Drosophila melanogaster: one gene and its partners. The protein of the gene in region 1 interacts with the protein of each later gene in a pairwise test. Each region holds a gene or a part of one and is shown in the gene's direction. Other genes may lie near its edges.

What was found. The genes of interacting proteins can lie anywhere in the genome.
Region 2: the proteins of CG33655 (region 1) and CG15211 interact in a two-hybrid assay, tested with the Drosophila melanogaster proteins (one large-scale study listed by BioGRID).
Region 3: the proteins of CG33655 (region 1) and Pex14 interact in a two-hybrid assay, tested with the Drosophila melanogaster proteins (one large-scale study listed by BioGRID).

Annotation. Positions count from the first base shown.
Region 1 is NT_033778.4:21,317,282-21,321,742, reverse strand, and holds CG33655 (uncharacterized protein), read left to right. Parts: upstream 1-1,725; 5' UTR 1,726-1,779; coding exon 1,780-1,878; coding exon of another isoform or gene 1,879-1,882; intron 1,883-1,939; coding exon 1,940-2,164; 3' UTR 2,165-2,340; coding exon of another isoform or gene 2,341-3,662; 3' UTR 3,663-3,726; coding exon of another isoform or gene 3,727-3,896; 3' UTR 3,897-3,950; downstream 3,951-4,461. Other genes in the region: CG30394 (uncharacterized protein), read left to right, coding at 1-1,582; CG9485 (uncharacterized protein), read right to left, coding at 2,341-3,662, 3,727-3,896, 3,957-4,134, 4,191-4,461.
Region 2 is NC_004354.4:10,770,765-10,778,580, forward strand, and holds the start of CG15211 (uncharacterized protein), read left to right. Parts: upstream 1-1,776; 5' UTR 1,777-1,862; intron 1,863-2,003; exon of another isoform or gene 2,004-2,033; 5' UTR 2,034-2,234; coding exon 2,235-2,402; intron 2,403-7,196; coding exon 7,197-7,364; intron 7,365-7,446; coding exon 7,447-7,644; 3' UTR 7,645-7,816. Other genes in the region: BTBD9 (BTB (POZ) domain containing 9), read left to right, coding at 1-308.
Region 3 is NT_037436.4:20,776,888-20,780,918, forward strand, and holds Pex14 (peroxin 14), read left to right. Parts: upstream 1-1,911; 5' UTR 1,912-2,045; coding exon 2,046-2,156; intron 2,157-2,215; coding exon 2,216-2,518; intron 2,519-2,790; coding exon 2,791-3,219; 3' UTR 3,220-3,491; downstream 3,492-4,031. Other genes in the region: Pex16 (peroxin 16), read right to left, coding at 182-1,095, 1,156-1,267.

The DNA of each region.
Region 1 (4,461 bases):
CAGTAGCTACATACCTGAACAACGCTTTCGATTCATCACTATCTTCATCGTTGTCTTTTCGTTATGCGTGGCTTTGGTTATTCCCTCCGTGGAGCTTATAATTGGCTTGGTGGGTTCCACCATTGGCGTAGCCATTTGTATAATGTTCCCCGCATCCAGTTTTCGAAAAATCATCAAAAAGGAATCTATGGAACGTACGCTTGCCCAGTTTGTATTCGTAAGTGGATTTCTATTGATGATCCTGGGAACGTATGCGAACCTAAGTGCAATTGATGAAAAGAGCTCCGGCCCGGAGTTTGATATGGTTGCCATAGGCACCCCTCTGTATCCCGATGGCCAAGTGCCAGCTGTCGTCGGCGAGCTACCAAAACATTTGGCCAAAGAATCCATTGACAGTGAAAAGAACCTATTGTTAAAGAAACTGGATGTCCAAAATCCAGACAAATTAAAACAAACCGTTGAGGATAAAGTTGTTGATATGCCGGAGGTAGTGCAATCAGCTTCCTCCGACAACCCACCGTTGCCACCACTGCCCATCGATGAAGTCCATGTAGTTCCCATAGATAGTAAAAATTCTGAAACGGATATTAAAAAACTACCAGTAGAAGCCGTAGAAGCAAACCCACCAGAAGCCAAACCACTCGATGTCAACCTTACCGTGGATAAGCCCAAGAATAATCCGCCTGCTGTTGCTGCATCGCTTCCAGATAAACCAAAAATTGGATCGAGCTTGTTATCAGCAAGCAATACAATTGATGGAGCGGCCATCAAGAAGGAGGAGGACGTGGCTGCCGAAGAGCAAAAGGAAAGTAAGGCTAATGCAGATGAGCTACTCAAAACCCAAAAGGAATTAAAGGAGACCAAAAAACTATTGGCGAAAACCGTTGGGGAGCTAAACGAAGAGTTGGCCAAGAAAAATTCATTTAATCAGCCACCTTTGGAGTTACAGAAAGATGAGCCTTTGGATACTGGTGCGAAATTTGCCGAGGAACCGAAGAAGGCTGAAATTAAGCTTAAGGAGTCGCAGCCAGTTGCGGACGAAAAGAAGGAGAGAAGGCGGCAGGCATCGTTAATGGACATACTCACGGAAAATACACATTTGCGCGATGAAAAGGAGGCCCATGCCGGCGTTTTTGAACCTCTATCCTACAAAACCGGAGAGTTACTCAGGAATTCGACCGTAGATAAAGAAGCGCTTATCAAACGATTGCCCATTCCACTAGCCCTAATGGTGAATTCTACTCAGCCGAAATCATCGAATGACTCGGAGATCAAGAAACCCAACCTTGAAGACAATGTAGAGGCCATTCGCCGGGAGCTGCTCAATCTGCGAAGTTCGGCGGATGCGACAGAGCAGCCACCGGCAAGGGTTAAACGTGAGGCCTCAAACGACGAGAACTGCCTACGCCAGCCCAAGCTGGATGAAGTGAATAATAATGTGGCTGCAGCTGCCTTGAGCTTGAACATGGAAAGTATTGGACGCGATCTCAAATCCATCAAAGATGATGACGTCGAGATAGTTACTGAAAACGAATCCTACCAAGCGAGTCCAAATGGAACCCAAACTTCGCTGCAGACGTAATGCGGATAGTTTACAACTATGCAAAGCTTTATGTATATAACCTTTACATGTATTTATTTAGTTTATAAGAAACTGTAGACTAGAAGTATATACAAATTATATACAGTTCATATGACTTGGGAATATTGTGTCAAATTTCTCGTGGAGTTGCTAGCAAAATTGTATGTGAAGCCCAGGTTTTTTGTAATTCCATCAAAATGTCCATCGTCCTTGATGTTATCCAACAAGTTGTGTTGCAGAAAGCTTACGATCTAACATGCGAGGCAGCCATTTTAGCCTTGAGAAAATGTGGCAAAGTGAGTAGGTGTAATATTTTTAAAATAATATTTATATCGCAATGGTTAATTTCTATTTAAGCTGAAAATAGAGGATGGTAAATCGAAAGCAAAGCGTGAAAAGCCTCTACCTCCGGTCAAGCCTATTTCCCAGGAAGCGGTTTCACCAATGAAAGCTCCAACGATTCCCGAGGCTAACACCATTCCAAAATATACGGGACGGGACATGCCTCGAAAGAACTTTGGCTCCATCGATCCCCCCCAATGCTCCTGCATGCGTGTGTGCCGAGATAGTTACTTCTCTTAGACGAAAAAGAACGCTTAAAAACAATTGCAACTTTAATAGAATAGGAATAGCAAAATTTCAAGGGACCTCAGGCATCGAATCTCATTCCATCTTGTATCCGTACAATTATCAAACGTAACACTAATAACAGTTTTTGGTAGCAACTAACAGGTTTGAATATGAGTATTTACGGTGGTTTAGGCCACGTCTGCTCCCAAGGAGTGCAGATCGTACAGGACTTCCAAAATGGCAGCAACACTCCAGGCCTGCGTGCGACAGGAGTCACCGCAGTAGGAGCCATTATCGTTGGTCAACTCGGGCAATCCGCGCCAATGGGATGTCTGTAGCTCTCGGAGATGGGCCCGTAGTATGGCCCAGGTCTCGGCAATGGTCTCGTCCAAATGGCCACACTTTTTGGCGAAGATCAGGCGCGCCCGCAGGTAAAAACCGATGGGCCATACCCACTCCGGCCCCTGGTGGTAGTTTGCGCCATGGGCTACAGTGCAATCGGTGGAGTCATTTGAGTTGTCATAGTTGGCCCTATAGTTCCAGTCCTCGGGATCCATCGTCTTCATGCCCAGCGGTCCCAGAAGATACTTTTTGGCGCGCTCCAGTGCACGCCAGGCATTCTGAGGATTGCACAGGTCGGGAGCCACGGTCAAGGTGATGGGGAAGTTGCATCGCAGCTGGTAGTCCGTCCAACTCTGGGTGGCTCCATAGCTGTCCTTGTAGATAAGCTTCTTGTTGGCCACCGAGCAGGTTTCCGATTCGGATACAAAGAAATACTTGTCAAAGTTGTTCTTGATGCGATCCGCCCACTCCTTGTAGCTCCACTTGGTCACTTCGCCCGATGGACCCTTTCGTTCCACGCCGGTGTACGGGATAACCTCCTTTTCGGCTAGGCTTTGCATAAACCGGAGTACGGCATACTGGAGGCCAACGAGCTCCACGGCTGATCCGTCGCGCGGCGTACTTGGACGTCCCTTGTTTCCGGCCTTCTGTGAGGATCCCATTTTGTCCATCCAAGTGCCGCAGTTGAAGTTATTGCCTCCGAATACAAAGCCAGTCTCCGGGTGAATTCCGATCTGATTGTTAAAGCCCTGGTCCACCATGTGCGCATCGATCTCATAGCCTGCATTGCGCTCCCTATACTGCAAGCCCTGAAAATGCACCTGCAGTGCCTCCTGCATCACGTCGAAGAGAAGTTGGTCGAAGGCACCTGGAGCATGGGCATCGGCATCGTCGTACGGAAATATGCGGGACACCTTGTCCTTCAGGATCTCGGCACCCTTGGGGGCATCCTCCACATACTGCTTGATGCAGTACATCCACCACCAGATAGCATCGCGGCAGTTGAATCTCGGCTTGCTGCCGCTGTCCAAAAGATTCGGAATGAGTCCGTGTCGAAGGGTCTGACCAAATCCAATGATGATGAAGCGAGCCTCGTTGTAACGGCCAGTGAGGAACATGGAGCCACGCAGAGCGATGAAGGTATCACGGCCCCAGCACCGCATATAGCCTACATAAATGGTTGAATATTCCATTATTCCGTTTCGATTGTTAAATATAATAGATAAACTCACCCGTTGAGAAATGCGGCAGACCAGCAGATAGAGTCACACATTGCTTTGGAGGCTTGGGTGGACTTAGAGCAGGACTGAATCCCGGCAGATTGGCCGACTTGCAAACGGAGAGGAACTGCAACGTGGACAGGGCCAGGGATTGTGGGAAACTGTGGCCATTCTTAATGAAGCTGTAAAAATTAAAGACTTAATAAAAACTCCATGAATGCAGTCGGCTCTAATGGACATACTCTGGCATTAGTTCGTTGACCTGGTTGATGAGCACATTGTAAACCCCGCTGACAATGGCATCAAAGTAGCAGGGTATGAGGTAGCGTGGAATATTCTTCAGTGGCTCAAAGGTAGCTTTGAACCAGGCGGAGAGTGGTTTCAGGTCTTCATAACTAGTTAGGCGATCAGAAATGTAATCTGAAAAGAATTATGTTGTAAAGTAACTACATAAATCTCTATCTTTACAAACTTACCCATCATCCAGTTTCCGTCGCGCAGATTGTTACAAAGCGGATGTCCCAAGTCATTTTTAGGCGAAATCTCCGTCAACAGGGAAATGAATCCTTGCAATCCGCAGTAAACGATCTTTCCAAAGTTGGGAATGTCGTAGGCGGTGCCACCTTTGCCAAGATCCCTCTCCTCATCATCGCAGCTGAAAAGGGCACCACTAAGTGCCACCAGATCCAACTTGGAGACGATAGCCTGCAGCTGGGAATACTCCTCGCCAGATCCAATACGCAGGGC
Region 2 (7,816 bases), on another chromosome or scaffold:
AAAGCGTTTTAAGGTCCATCCACTGGCCGCCACAGACAAGGGAAGTGGCCGTTGCCCCACTCACTCCGCCAGCACTCTCCCCGCCCGGCACGCCAGCACTTCCGGCTCCTCTGACCCCGGCAACCTCGTCGCCGCATAACAACCATGAACAAAATCAGCCAAGTAATATCAGTGCAGACGCAAGCCACCACACCAGTCCAAGTTCAAGGAGCAACCCCAGTCCCAGCCTAAGTAGGAGCAGAAGCCAGAGTGCGGAGTTGGAGCCAGTGCCGCCATTGGTTGAGCTTGACACCAGGGAGACGCTCTGAGCTGATCGCCGCTGCGGCCGATAATGTTTTGTACTTGAAATACTCCTGTGGTCTGTTAGCTGTTAGTCTCCGCGCTTAGTTATATTTTGCAGACCGTGCTGCTCTTGTTATCTAGTCCTTCCCAGTGCCCCAATGCTTGGTGGTTCCAAAACCTGTGCATTGCATATTGGTTTTGCGTTATTACCTTCGTTATATACTATATGTATATACATATATATATATATAGATATATGTTTTTATAATTTTATTGTGATCCAAAAATAATTCCTTATGTTTGCAAGGCAGCAGAGTTATTTATATAAGCAATATAACTGAATTCTATGCACACACACACCCACCCACACACACACCACACACACACACCACACACACACACACATGTTTAACGCGAACTCGAATGCGATTTCCGAGCAGCTGAACCAAAATTGTATACGATATCCGATCGCATAGTATAAATCTGTACTGTCTAGCCTTATGTCCGGTCCATGTCCTTGTCCAAATCAATCCATTTGATCCGCAACTCGTAGTCTTTAGGCTCATCGAGCGGCCCAAAAATTAGGCTCTATTTATTAGGCAAATTTTGTCATAGTTTGTATTGCACGCAAATAAAAGCTAACCAAAAAAATGAAAACACCGCTTATTGTTTCACTTGCAAACCAATCGGTTTCTTATAAAATTTTTAAAGTCCCTCACACATTTCAACCACGAATTGTGCCGTGTGTGACCACTGTGCACCACACATGCCACCCACTGTTGCCCCAACATCCACAACACGCTCCACTGTTTTGAAATTCCGATCAGAGGCGACCCACGGCCGTGCTGCAGCGGCAGCCATAAAAGTCGAATCAGAACGTTAAACCAGTTGCGACGCACAGTGGGCGTTGGGAAGAGAGAGAGGGACGCCGATCCAGCGAGCGAATCAGAAAGAGATGGCGAAATGCAGTGCTAGCCAAACGGGAATTTGTGGGTTCTTGAAGAAAACTAAAAAAAAAAGAAAATATTACTCATACGCCGCGTTGTCTACATGATTTAATAATATATATTGCATATTTTGTACGGATGGTTTTAATAAAATGTAAATGTTTTATTGAGAAATCTAGACAACTGTATTTATTTAATAGTTTTACTTTTATTTTGGAATGAACACAATCACACAATACGGTCAATCTGGCCCACTGTGCCGATTATAACAGTTAGCGGCGCAGGCGCAACAAACTAGTTTGCCCCACAAGCAGCGGGGAGTGGCAACTAAGGGGGGTGGGGGGTGGTTCTATTTAGGGCGTTGCAGGGGCGTCGTCAAAGGGCGCGCGCAACTAAATAGCCAACTGACTAACTAACTAACTGGGAGAGCGCGAATGTGAGTGTAAGTCCGAGTGGGAGTGGGAGAGCGAGCGTGAGTGCGCTAGTGTGGAGCGGAGCGGCGTGCGGTTAACCGTTAGCCTGCAGCGGCGGCAAGTTCAGCTCGCAGTTCAGTTCAGTCGACCAGCGGCCGCCGTGGACAAAGCAACGTAACGCCAAAGCAATCGCAGCGCAGCTCATGGATATATAGCTACAGTTAACTACCAGATACTAAACTACACACATTTCACCACATACCCAAATATACCCACCACACGCGGCATATATCTCTATATATATATTTGAGAATTAGAGGCGTGGGGGTTTAGGGGGTGGGGTGGTAACTCGCGCGAGGGCGTCACACGCGTTCATATACATCAGATATAGATATATAGGGTAGCTGCCGATCGACCAGCGAACATATAGAAAGCGGTGGTTATTTTTCTCATCTTATTTTATTGTGACAAAAATCGCGACAAGTGTTTAAAAATAGTTGTTGTGCCCAGCTAATAAAGTAAACTTGCCCGCCAAACTGAAACTGAAACTGAAACTGAAACTAAGCCAAGCCAAACTATAAACAGCAACAATATGGTCGAGACCGTTGTCAATATCGAGCGCACAACAACAACAACGACGAACGGACCGCCAGGTGGAGCGAACCCGACCGTTGGCAGCGGTGGCGGCTTCTGGAGCGCCATTCGCCTCAACATCGACTATTTCCGCACCATACCGGGCATCATCAAAATTGTGGAGTTTGTGAGTACATACAACTAGCTGAGATATATCACTACTATATTTTTATAATTCATTATAAAACAAATGAAAATCTAATACTTAATATTGCAACATATGATATTTCGAAACTATTGAATACGATCCACTTGAGTAGAAGTCTTTTAAAAACTGAAACCAAAAACTGGGCCAAATTTCCAAACATATCAAAATTATGTACATTACATGTTTCTAAACTCTTAGATTTAAAATATGCATAAATGTCGGTTTAAATAGAACTTAGGAATGCGATTATGTTGAAAAAGTACCATAATGTACATACATTATTTTGTGGAATGCTAAATTCAGACATAAGTTTCCGAATTTGGCTGTTATCGTATTTCCTCGAAACTGATAGAGCCTTCGAAACATAAAGTTTCAGAGGGAAATATTAAAATATACGTTGGATAATTGTTGTAGAGAAAAGTTAGAATTCCTCATAGCACTCTTATCGTCATAAATTGAACGGTTTTATCTAGAGTTTGCCTTCCGCCACCATTCTTTATCGAGATATCTCGAGACTTAAGAAACCCTAGAGCCTCGATGTGTACTCAATTACACAAATATGTATACAATATGCCCGACAACAAGTGTGTTGTGCACTTGCCCCTTTTGTGTGTACATATGTCAGGATCTCATTAGACTTACGACGGATAAGATAGGGGTAGACAAGTTGTAGGAACTGCAAACATGTGAGCTCCATGGCCATGTGGTCAACTCATAGCCCTCTTCTTGTATTCCACAGACGTTAAACACTTAACGCATTTGGCCTGGTATTCGAAGCTATGTATGATCTATCTTTTTTCCCACAAATCCGCAGCAAAATGAAGTTAAAGTGTGGGCGATGCAATCGGTATGCGACGCCAACACAAGGTACTCGCAATTATATGAGTGGGCACTGGGGTAACTCAACTACCGCTCGGATGGATCACCTGCTCAGGTGTAGAAAGTTTTCAGGCAAAAATTTCTCTATTCTCAATGGGCCAACGCTTGGTGGGCACAAGGTCAAGGGATAACGACAAGTGCTTGGGACCCACATGAAAAATGCATTATTAAGCGCTCGTCAGTTGTTACGGAGAAAATCAATAGCGGATAAATGGGAGGAGTGCTGGGTGCTTCGATGATATGATTACCGTCACAATAAGCTGTCGTTTATTAACTTATATATATTGATTTTCTGTTCTGAAAATCGGCTATTATCAGGCGACTAAGCTAGTTTAGCTGACGGCTGACGAAGTAATTTGCGGATGTTCTGGTAGGACTTATTTCCAATTCATATACTAATCTGACCAAAAAAGGAAAGCAAATACTTGTCATTCAAATATGCTTTGATTTCACCAATGGCTAGTTAATTTTCTTTTTCGGTTAGCGGTGTGCCTGTCGATTGGGATATTTTTGTGGCAACTAATCTTATCGGTACCCTTAAGCGATAGTCTGCTGATAGTCGTCTCAGCGCAGTGTGAAATATGTAAAAGTGCTCCACTTGAGAGTTGCCACAAAAACAGGGCCGTAATTGCAGCTGCTCGTTTCCCAAATGCCAATTGATAGGTATTAAGCCCGTTAAATAAATAATTCAAATTGGGCCAAATGGCGGGAAACTTGACCACTTTCATGGCTATCTATTTTAAGACTTTTGTTTCTTGAGCTTAACTAAATTATATTAGATTATTGGTACTATAGTTCGAATTTGACTGCAGTTTTGACTGTTTTCACCGATTGTGACTCATTTCGAACAATTCTGCGAATATATTGAGTGCCATAGCTAATCGCTCGTTACTCATACGCACCGTTATCCGAACAAAGTGGACGATAATGTGGCGACCACCTGTTTGCGAGCGGAGAGGAGCAGACCGACGATATTTTCGGTAGCCATGCTCCTGCTGATAAGCCAATCGATTCCTGACACCTGACTGCCGATCGTTAATTTGCCCACGGACCATTACACATACTCATCCGCCCAGTGGTCCCAAATCATACCAACAACAACAACAACAACAACAAAGCCCCCGAAATATAACGCTTCTTTCGTATCTTATCGTTGGCAATTAGCATTTTGGACCCAGCATTGCCTCAATTTACTTACCATACATATTCACGCGATGCCCCAAGCATATATGCATTCCATGGCCAAGTGTGCTCTATATACATATATACGTACATACACATCGGAATATCTACGAGTATATGCAAATTCGGAAAGAGAACGATTTATTATTAAGTTTTGTTGGTCGCGGTCCCTGCCGTTCGAGAATATTTTTTTTATAATAGCCTAATTACGTAAGACGTGTATTTTGGAAGCTGCCGACGGCATTCTTATTGTTTGGCATTGTAGCATTGTCGTGGATTTTAATTTTAATACGAATGTTTTAGCCAAAAGCGGAAATTATGACACAAATACGGGGTGTCATTCAAGAAATTGTTAACCACAAAAATGCGGGGGAGGCGAAGAGATCTGGGGAATTCGAGCCGAAAGTCACTTTAGACAGATGCTGGCGTTTGTTGGCGGTTTGTTGATGAAAATGCGATCGATCGTTGTGGCATCATGTACAGTGCATGCCATAAACGTAGGCTGTTTGGCTTGTAGCCGAAAGCAGTTAACTTAAACTATCGGAAATATAAATTGTATATTGCTACTATCTTATGGGCGCACTTTTTCTGAAACCTCAAATCTTATCCCTTTTCAGTTATAAGTTTCAGTTAGCGTCTTGCCTTACAGCTGCGAAACGGACTGCACTAAGTGCACATGGCTATGCAAATACGTGTGTGTTTGCAAACTGTGTGCTTGGGTACATTTTAGGTAATTGACGCTGACTAAGTGTACGGCGCTCAGGAAAGTGAGCTCATCTTTGAAGCTCCGTCTTGGCCCTGTTAACAGATTGTTAGCCAACAAAAGGGAGGGCATACATATGTATGTATACAATTCAAGGGCATTGATCCTTCTATTAGATAATCCAGTTATGGTTGTCCATTAACTTCGAACTATATATATATTTGTACCACCACAATTGGAATATTTGTTAAACATTGCGAGGATATTAGCTTACAGGTATTGTTTAAACTTTAAGCTTTCGAAGAAAGAACATTATTTATACATATGTAGTTGGAAGTTTGTAATCTAACGATCTTGTTGTTTATGTGCGACCACTAGAATTTCTGTGGCTTCCATTGAACTTCAGACGAGGCAGACGCGGCTAGGAACCGTAGACCGTATAATCGGAGGCCAAGAACTCGATCCATTTCAGTGGCGTTTCGCGTCATTGAATTTCGCTCGAAAAGTAAATAATTATGTTGCTGCCCCGATCGATATACCCAGATGCACCCAACTCTCTACGCAGTTTTTCATGCTCCACAAGGCAATTTGATCGTTGCCATGGAACTAAAGATTATGGTTATATGTATATGGTTATAAGAACTTTCCAACCGTGCACATAAGAACTGATTAACACATACAAATGTGTATATATATGCCAATCTTGTCGTTATATATACCTTATGTATGCATACGCAGAAGTAAAAATAAAAATAAAAAGCCCGCCATAAATTATGCTTAGAAAAGATAAAATTCGTATAATTCCCAGACGAATTTCTCTCTGGCTCTTTTATTTTTGAAAAGTGACGCACAACATTTGTGGATCACAAGTGCGAGGCTAAAAAAAAAAGTATATAAGTCAAATGAAGAATACGAACACCATTTGGAAAATGCATGAATCCAAGATCCAAGATCAACAAATCTCAACAAATCGCTGACAGTTCAATCAACCTTTGATATGCGGCTGCTGTGCAGTTAATTGTTTACCAGATAGCAAATAAGAAACACACACAAAAAAAAAAACAAAGGGGACAACAACAAGATGTTGCTATCAACAGGTCGCTTTTGGCCTGGGCTACAACTTTCAGCTTTCACTTTTCGTGTACCTTTTGTTTTAGCCAAAAACACAATGCTCAAGTCGACTGACTGCGCACACCTGTTTGATTTCTTATTTTGTTGCTGTGTCGCCAAAAGCTTATTGCCATTTAATTGCCTAAAACAACCACGAATGTGTGTCATCATCGGCACCTGTCATCCAGCTTTATGATCTTAGTGTTCCTAACTCACGAAATCGCCCTGCGAATTTGCTTGAAATGCGATAAGGTTCTCGAAAATGACTTACAGATAGTTCAGTATACATATATTAACAAGTTATTGGTAATATATACTGAGTCATTCATAGATACGGGATACTGTTACCTCAGTTTGTTTGAAATATGACATAAACTTAAGTTAAGTTGAGTAAAATGGAGTACCTAATTGTTTCTGAGCCATTTTACTACAAGCACATTTCCAAATAAATCTGAGCTACATATGTATCTATGTACATATGTATCTATGTATCTGTGCAGTGGCATTCTTTGAATTCACCGCTTAATTAGCTGGAGAACAAGGCGACATTCTGAGCACAGCCTCTAATTTTTCATGGCGTGCATTCAATTGAAGGTGACATCACGACATGCTCACTCCAGATTCGAAATCACGACCTTGAAGAGGCGCCTCTCAATTGGAGGAAGATCACGATCTGGGTGACTATACATATATGTATTACAACTAATAATATAAGATGCTATGCAATCTATACATCTCAAATATGCATTCAACTTTACCCTAAATAGACATTGCATAAAACTGCACAATTACGATTTAATGCGACAGATGGCGCTTGAATCTTAAAACTACTCGTATATTATTGCTTCTACTGCGACCTTGTACACTTACACATTTACCCATCTTTTTATACACACCAGGTGCTGGGCATCATCTGCATGGCCCTGGCAGCTCCTCCACTGGCCTCGGCCACCTCGTTCTTCATGTTCGTCATCGTCATCTCGTTCATCATCAACATTCTGCTGATCGCCGCCTATTTCCTGGGCATTCGCGAGGCCCTCAACGTGGCCGTCAACTGGATATTCTCGGTGAGTGACAAATGGCAACTAACTGCTCTGGATCATTAGTATGAACTAACCCACCCAACTGCTACTTTGTTTTGCCCAACAGGAGCTGATCACCACCGCTGTGCTGACGCTGCTGTACTTCATCGGATTCATCGTCCAGCTGGCCAGATGGTCGGATGCCACGGGCAAGGGTTCCGGTTCGAATACCGCCGCCGGTGTCTTTGGACTCTTCAATTTCCTGGCCTACGCGGCGGGCACGTACTTCCTGTTCCTGGCCCACAGGTCCGGGGCTACCCACTAAGTGCAGCCAACTCAGTGACTGGATCTTAGTCTAGAGTTATTTCTAATTGTTTACAGAATAAGTGCAGATCGAGTACTTGTAATTTTGCCTCTTTTTTTTGTACTTTTGTTTTTTGTTGTTAATTAACGTATGCAGCAGATTGACAATGGAAAGCGACATGGCTTTCTGTTTT
Region 3 (4,031 bases), on another chromosome or scaffold:
GTGGGTCAATTCAAGGAATATGAAAGTTGGCTATAAACATATCGAAAATTACTCCATCGTTTTATTGTGCAAACAACTTTTCAAGGACCAAAACTCAACCCACCCTCAACACTCCGAATGCGTCCACACCTGTAACTTTAAAACTTAGCCTAGGGGAATACTAACGCTCTACCTGAAATGCCTAAGTGGACCACAGATAGAAGTAAGTGCTTTGCCACGTGGGAATGTAATCTTTAAGGGGTTTGGCAACCACCTTAGCAATGGGCACACTTGTGGCCACAAAGTCGAGGATCCGCTCCAGTCTGGATTTGGTGAAGCTGTCATAGAACGGCGATCGGACCAGGAAGTACATGATGTTTATGCATCGCCTGCTCAGCTCCAGTTTTTGTTGCTTGGACATTAGGTCGCGATGCTGGCGGTAGAGGTGAATGCTATACAAATCAATGGATAATGCTACCATATATTGCTTCCAACTTCTCCGGCCGAACAGCCCCATGGCGACCAGGTGGATTAGTGGCTTCGATATATACAGGTATTCTGCTTGCAGGAGTTTCCTCGGAATTTGCGTCTTCGCCGCTTCATTGTTGTCTATATGAAGCTTGAAGTCGCGGTATTGCAGGGGAGGAGCACCCTCCACTTTACGAATCACACGGCCAGATCGCTTCAATTGGAAGGTAATGGAGTGCTGGGACTGCAATAAATCGTTCGTGGAGGAGGCCACACCATCCCCCGAATTCTTCCTCTGTTTGGCCCTTCGATTCAGTGCGGCGATGGGCGGTGAGGTGATTATATCCGAGGTTGAGTGTTTCAAGATAAAGAAACGGCCCGCTGCCTTGAAGGCCTGTATTAGCGCTATCACCAGCCACTTGCCGGATTGACCGAAAAGCCGACGGGCTGATATCTCGATGAAAACCTCGCTATATTCGAGCGTCGTCAACGTGACCTTTAGACGGTAGCAAAGTTTCGATTGCAGGTGGATCACCGAATTCTCCTCGGAATTGCGTGCCTTTTCGATGATCCGGTCGTTGTAGAACACCAGCATGTTTGACAGTGTATATACCAGCTCACTGACCACATTTGATGAGGAAATGCGACCTGGAAGCCGGCCAATGAGATGAGTCTGTAGGCTCTATGTAAGCAAGGAGTTCACTTTACCTGCTATAAAGTAGGATACCCACTTGGCTGTGGTCTCAAAATCCCCCACCACGTCGGGGTTTTTGCCCACCCACGCCTCGTACGCCTTCAGCATGCCCTTCAGAGTGTCCATTATATCCGGAAAATATTGTCTGTTCCTCCAAATAATAAAAATAATGAGGTGTTTCGGTCTACAGGTAATCAAATCGGTGCAGTTGTGGTGTTCTGGCGTTTTGAACAAGGCGTTAGTGCTTTCATGCAACACAAAATAGAAGGTGACGCAAAATGAATACATATATGAATGCAAGCACGGAGAGCGTTGATTAAACGCTTTGGATTAATAAAATTGGTACAAAAATAAATACCAAATACCAGTGTCACGAGCTTATCGCCATTACACTTTCAAATTTTACCACATTGGTGCTTACACGTCATAGAAAAAGAAACTAATAATTAAGGACCCACAATTTGTAAGAACCACATTTGGCATATCTGCCACCAACCTTTCATAGCCCCTTTTAATGTTCTTCAATGTAAAGATTTGCTTGTTTAGTCTCGGCATCTTAATTCAAGTTTCCTGATTCTTTATACTGCAGTATATTTTTATTGGGTATATTATGCATTTAAAATTTTAGCCCAGGTACTATGTTCTTTATAATAGAAACATTTCTTACCAAATTTTTCGGTAAAAACATTTTTCCAAGTTCAAATCTTTATTACGTTACAAATTACCTTAACGTTATACATAATAACCCTAGAAACGCTAATGCATTAGTAATTTCGAGAGCAGCAAAGTCTTTGGTCACACTTTTGTTTTTGTGCACTTTGTAATCGAATTGCTCGTGAATTCGGATTCACTCCGTTTTCGTGTGTATTAGCTAGGCAAGATTGAATTAAGAGTCGATATACAGATGTCCAGCAACAACACGGACACTGGGGACACCACCGTCATGGCGACGGCTACCTCGGTGCAGAACGATGTCGAGGCCGGCGTAGATGAGCAATTGCCTCGAGAATCGCTGGTAATATTTGTTCAACCCCTTCAAGTTTGCCTAATCTATAATCCGACTATTCGCCGCAGATAACCACTGCAGTCAGTTTTCTACAAAACACCAAGGTGCGCCACACGACACTTATCCAGAAGCAGCAGTTCCTACGGTCCAAAGGTCTCACCGCTCACGAAATTCAGCTGGCCTGTGAACGGGCCGGCGTTTTCACCCAAGACCCCAACAAGCCCAATCCGAATCCGAACACCGTCATTAGCATTGGATCCCAATTGCACGCGCTGCAGCCGCAGCCGACTGTCTTGGGCCGGATCAGGGAAATCATCCATTCGGCAGCCCTGTTCAGCGGAGTCGTCTACGCAGTCTACATCTTCTGGAAGGTGAGATGCAGTGGGATCTCTATTTCGGGGTCTTTTAAAAAGATTTATTATATTTACTCCACCAACTCGAGTGCGAATTTAAAGATCGCCATCTTGTCTAAGGCTTAGATACATTACACATATATTTGATGACACTTTTACCAGACGACGTTGAATTTACTTAGTATTTAACACATTTTGTAAAAGTGTTAGGACGCATAAATAAGTTTTAAGTGGTCCACCAGTCCAAAGTCCATGATTGCTAATAACTTCTAAAACCCGTATAATTTCAGCAATACATTGCGCCCTACCTGTTCGGCAAGTCCAAGAAGAAGGCGGTCGATGAAGTCCTGGACGACATAGACAAGAAGGTAGAGACCCGCACCAACGACCTCAACAAGGAGATTTTGGCGGTCAGGGATCTGATCACCACACAGCAAAGGGAACACGCCCAGCAGCTGAACCGCGAATTTAGTAACTTCCGTAGCGATCTGGATGCCATTAAGGGCCTGCTTTTGAACCGAAAACAGTTCGCCGGCCCTGTGGCTCCGATCGCAGTGCCATCCATTCCCGCCTGGCAATTGGCCGGCTCACCGCATCACCATCACCGGCACAGCGGGTCGGACGACAACGAGAAGGGCGATGATGCTGGATCCGGGTCTGGCTCGTCGGAGACAGAGGTGGTCACCAAGAATAGTGACTCCAGCTTGGAGATCATGTAATGCAATCAGAATACGAGGCTGGCTATATAGACGTAGTATATAGTTACGCTGTAAATTGAGTTTCCCCGTTAAATGCCTTCAAGACTTTTGGTTTTTTTTCTTTGCGTTTATAGCATTTAAGGTTTCTTTATAGTCAACAGCTAATCCATATCCAAAAGTACATACACACACTCACATATACACACTTATGCGATACGATGTCTATACAATGTAATAATAAAAAGTTTACATAATAACAGGTTTGAATTGAAAGAAACTGTTTAATTAAGCGCAAAAATGCTTTGTGTAGTTTTTTGTTTATCGGTACATACGGGGTGGGGATAGCATATCGGTTTAGACAATAAATTTCGACTTAGACGATAATTGGATTCTAAAAATTTTGCCGAGTGCTACTTTCTATAAATTGGCTAAATTCCCTTAGGTTTGATTTAAGATTATGCCGGGCGGAGCACCTCGAGGTTTTGCCTACAAGCTCCTTGAAGACTCCACCCAGATCCTTAACGGATTTAAATTATTTATTTATTGTGCGGTGCCTAGTTATGGTTTTGTTTCAATTACAAATTTGGTTCTCTGCGCATTCCCTTCATTAAATTTCCTTCACTACTTACGTTAGTTATCGATTTGTACATACGATAATTTAGTATTCAAATAATTGTTTGCCATTTTCGTAAAAGTTAATGTATTCTAGTAAGTTAATATTCTCACAAACGATTGTTAAGGGCTTCACAGTTCACATGAATGTGTTCTTTATTTCTCACTTCGTTTTGTGAATGGACAAACCATTGCGAAATACCCTGAAACAAGGATAGAGA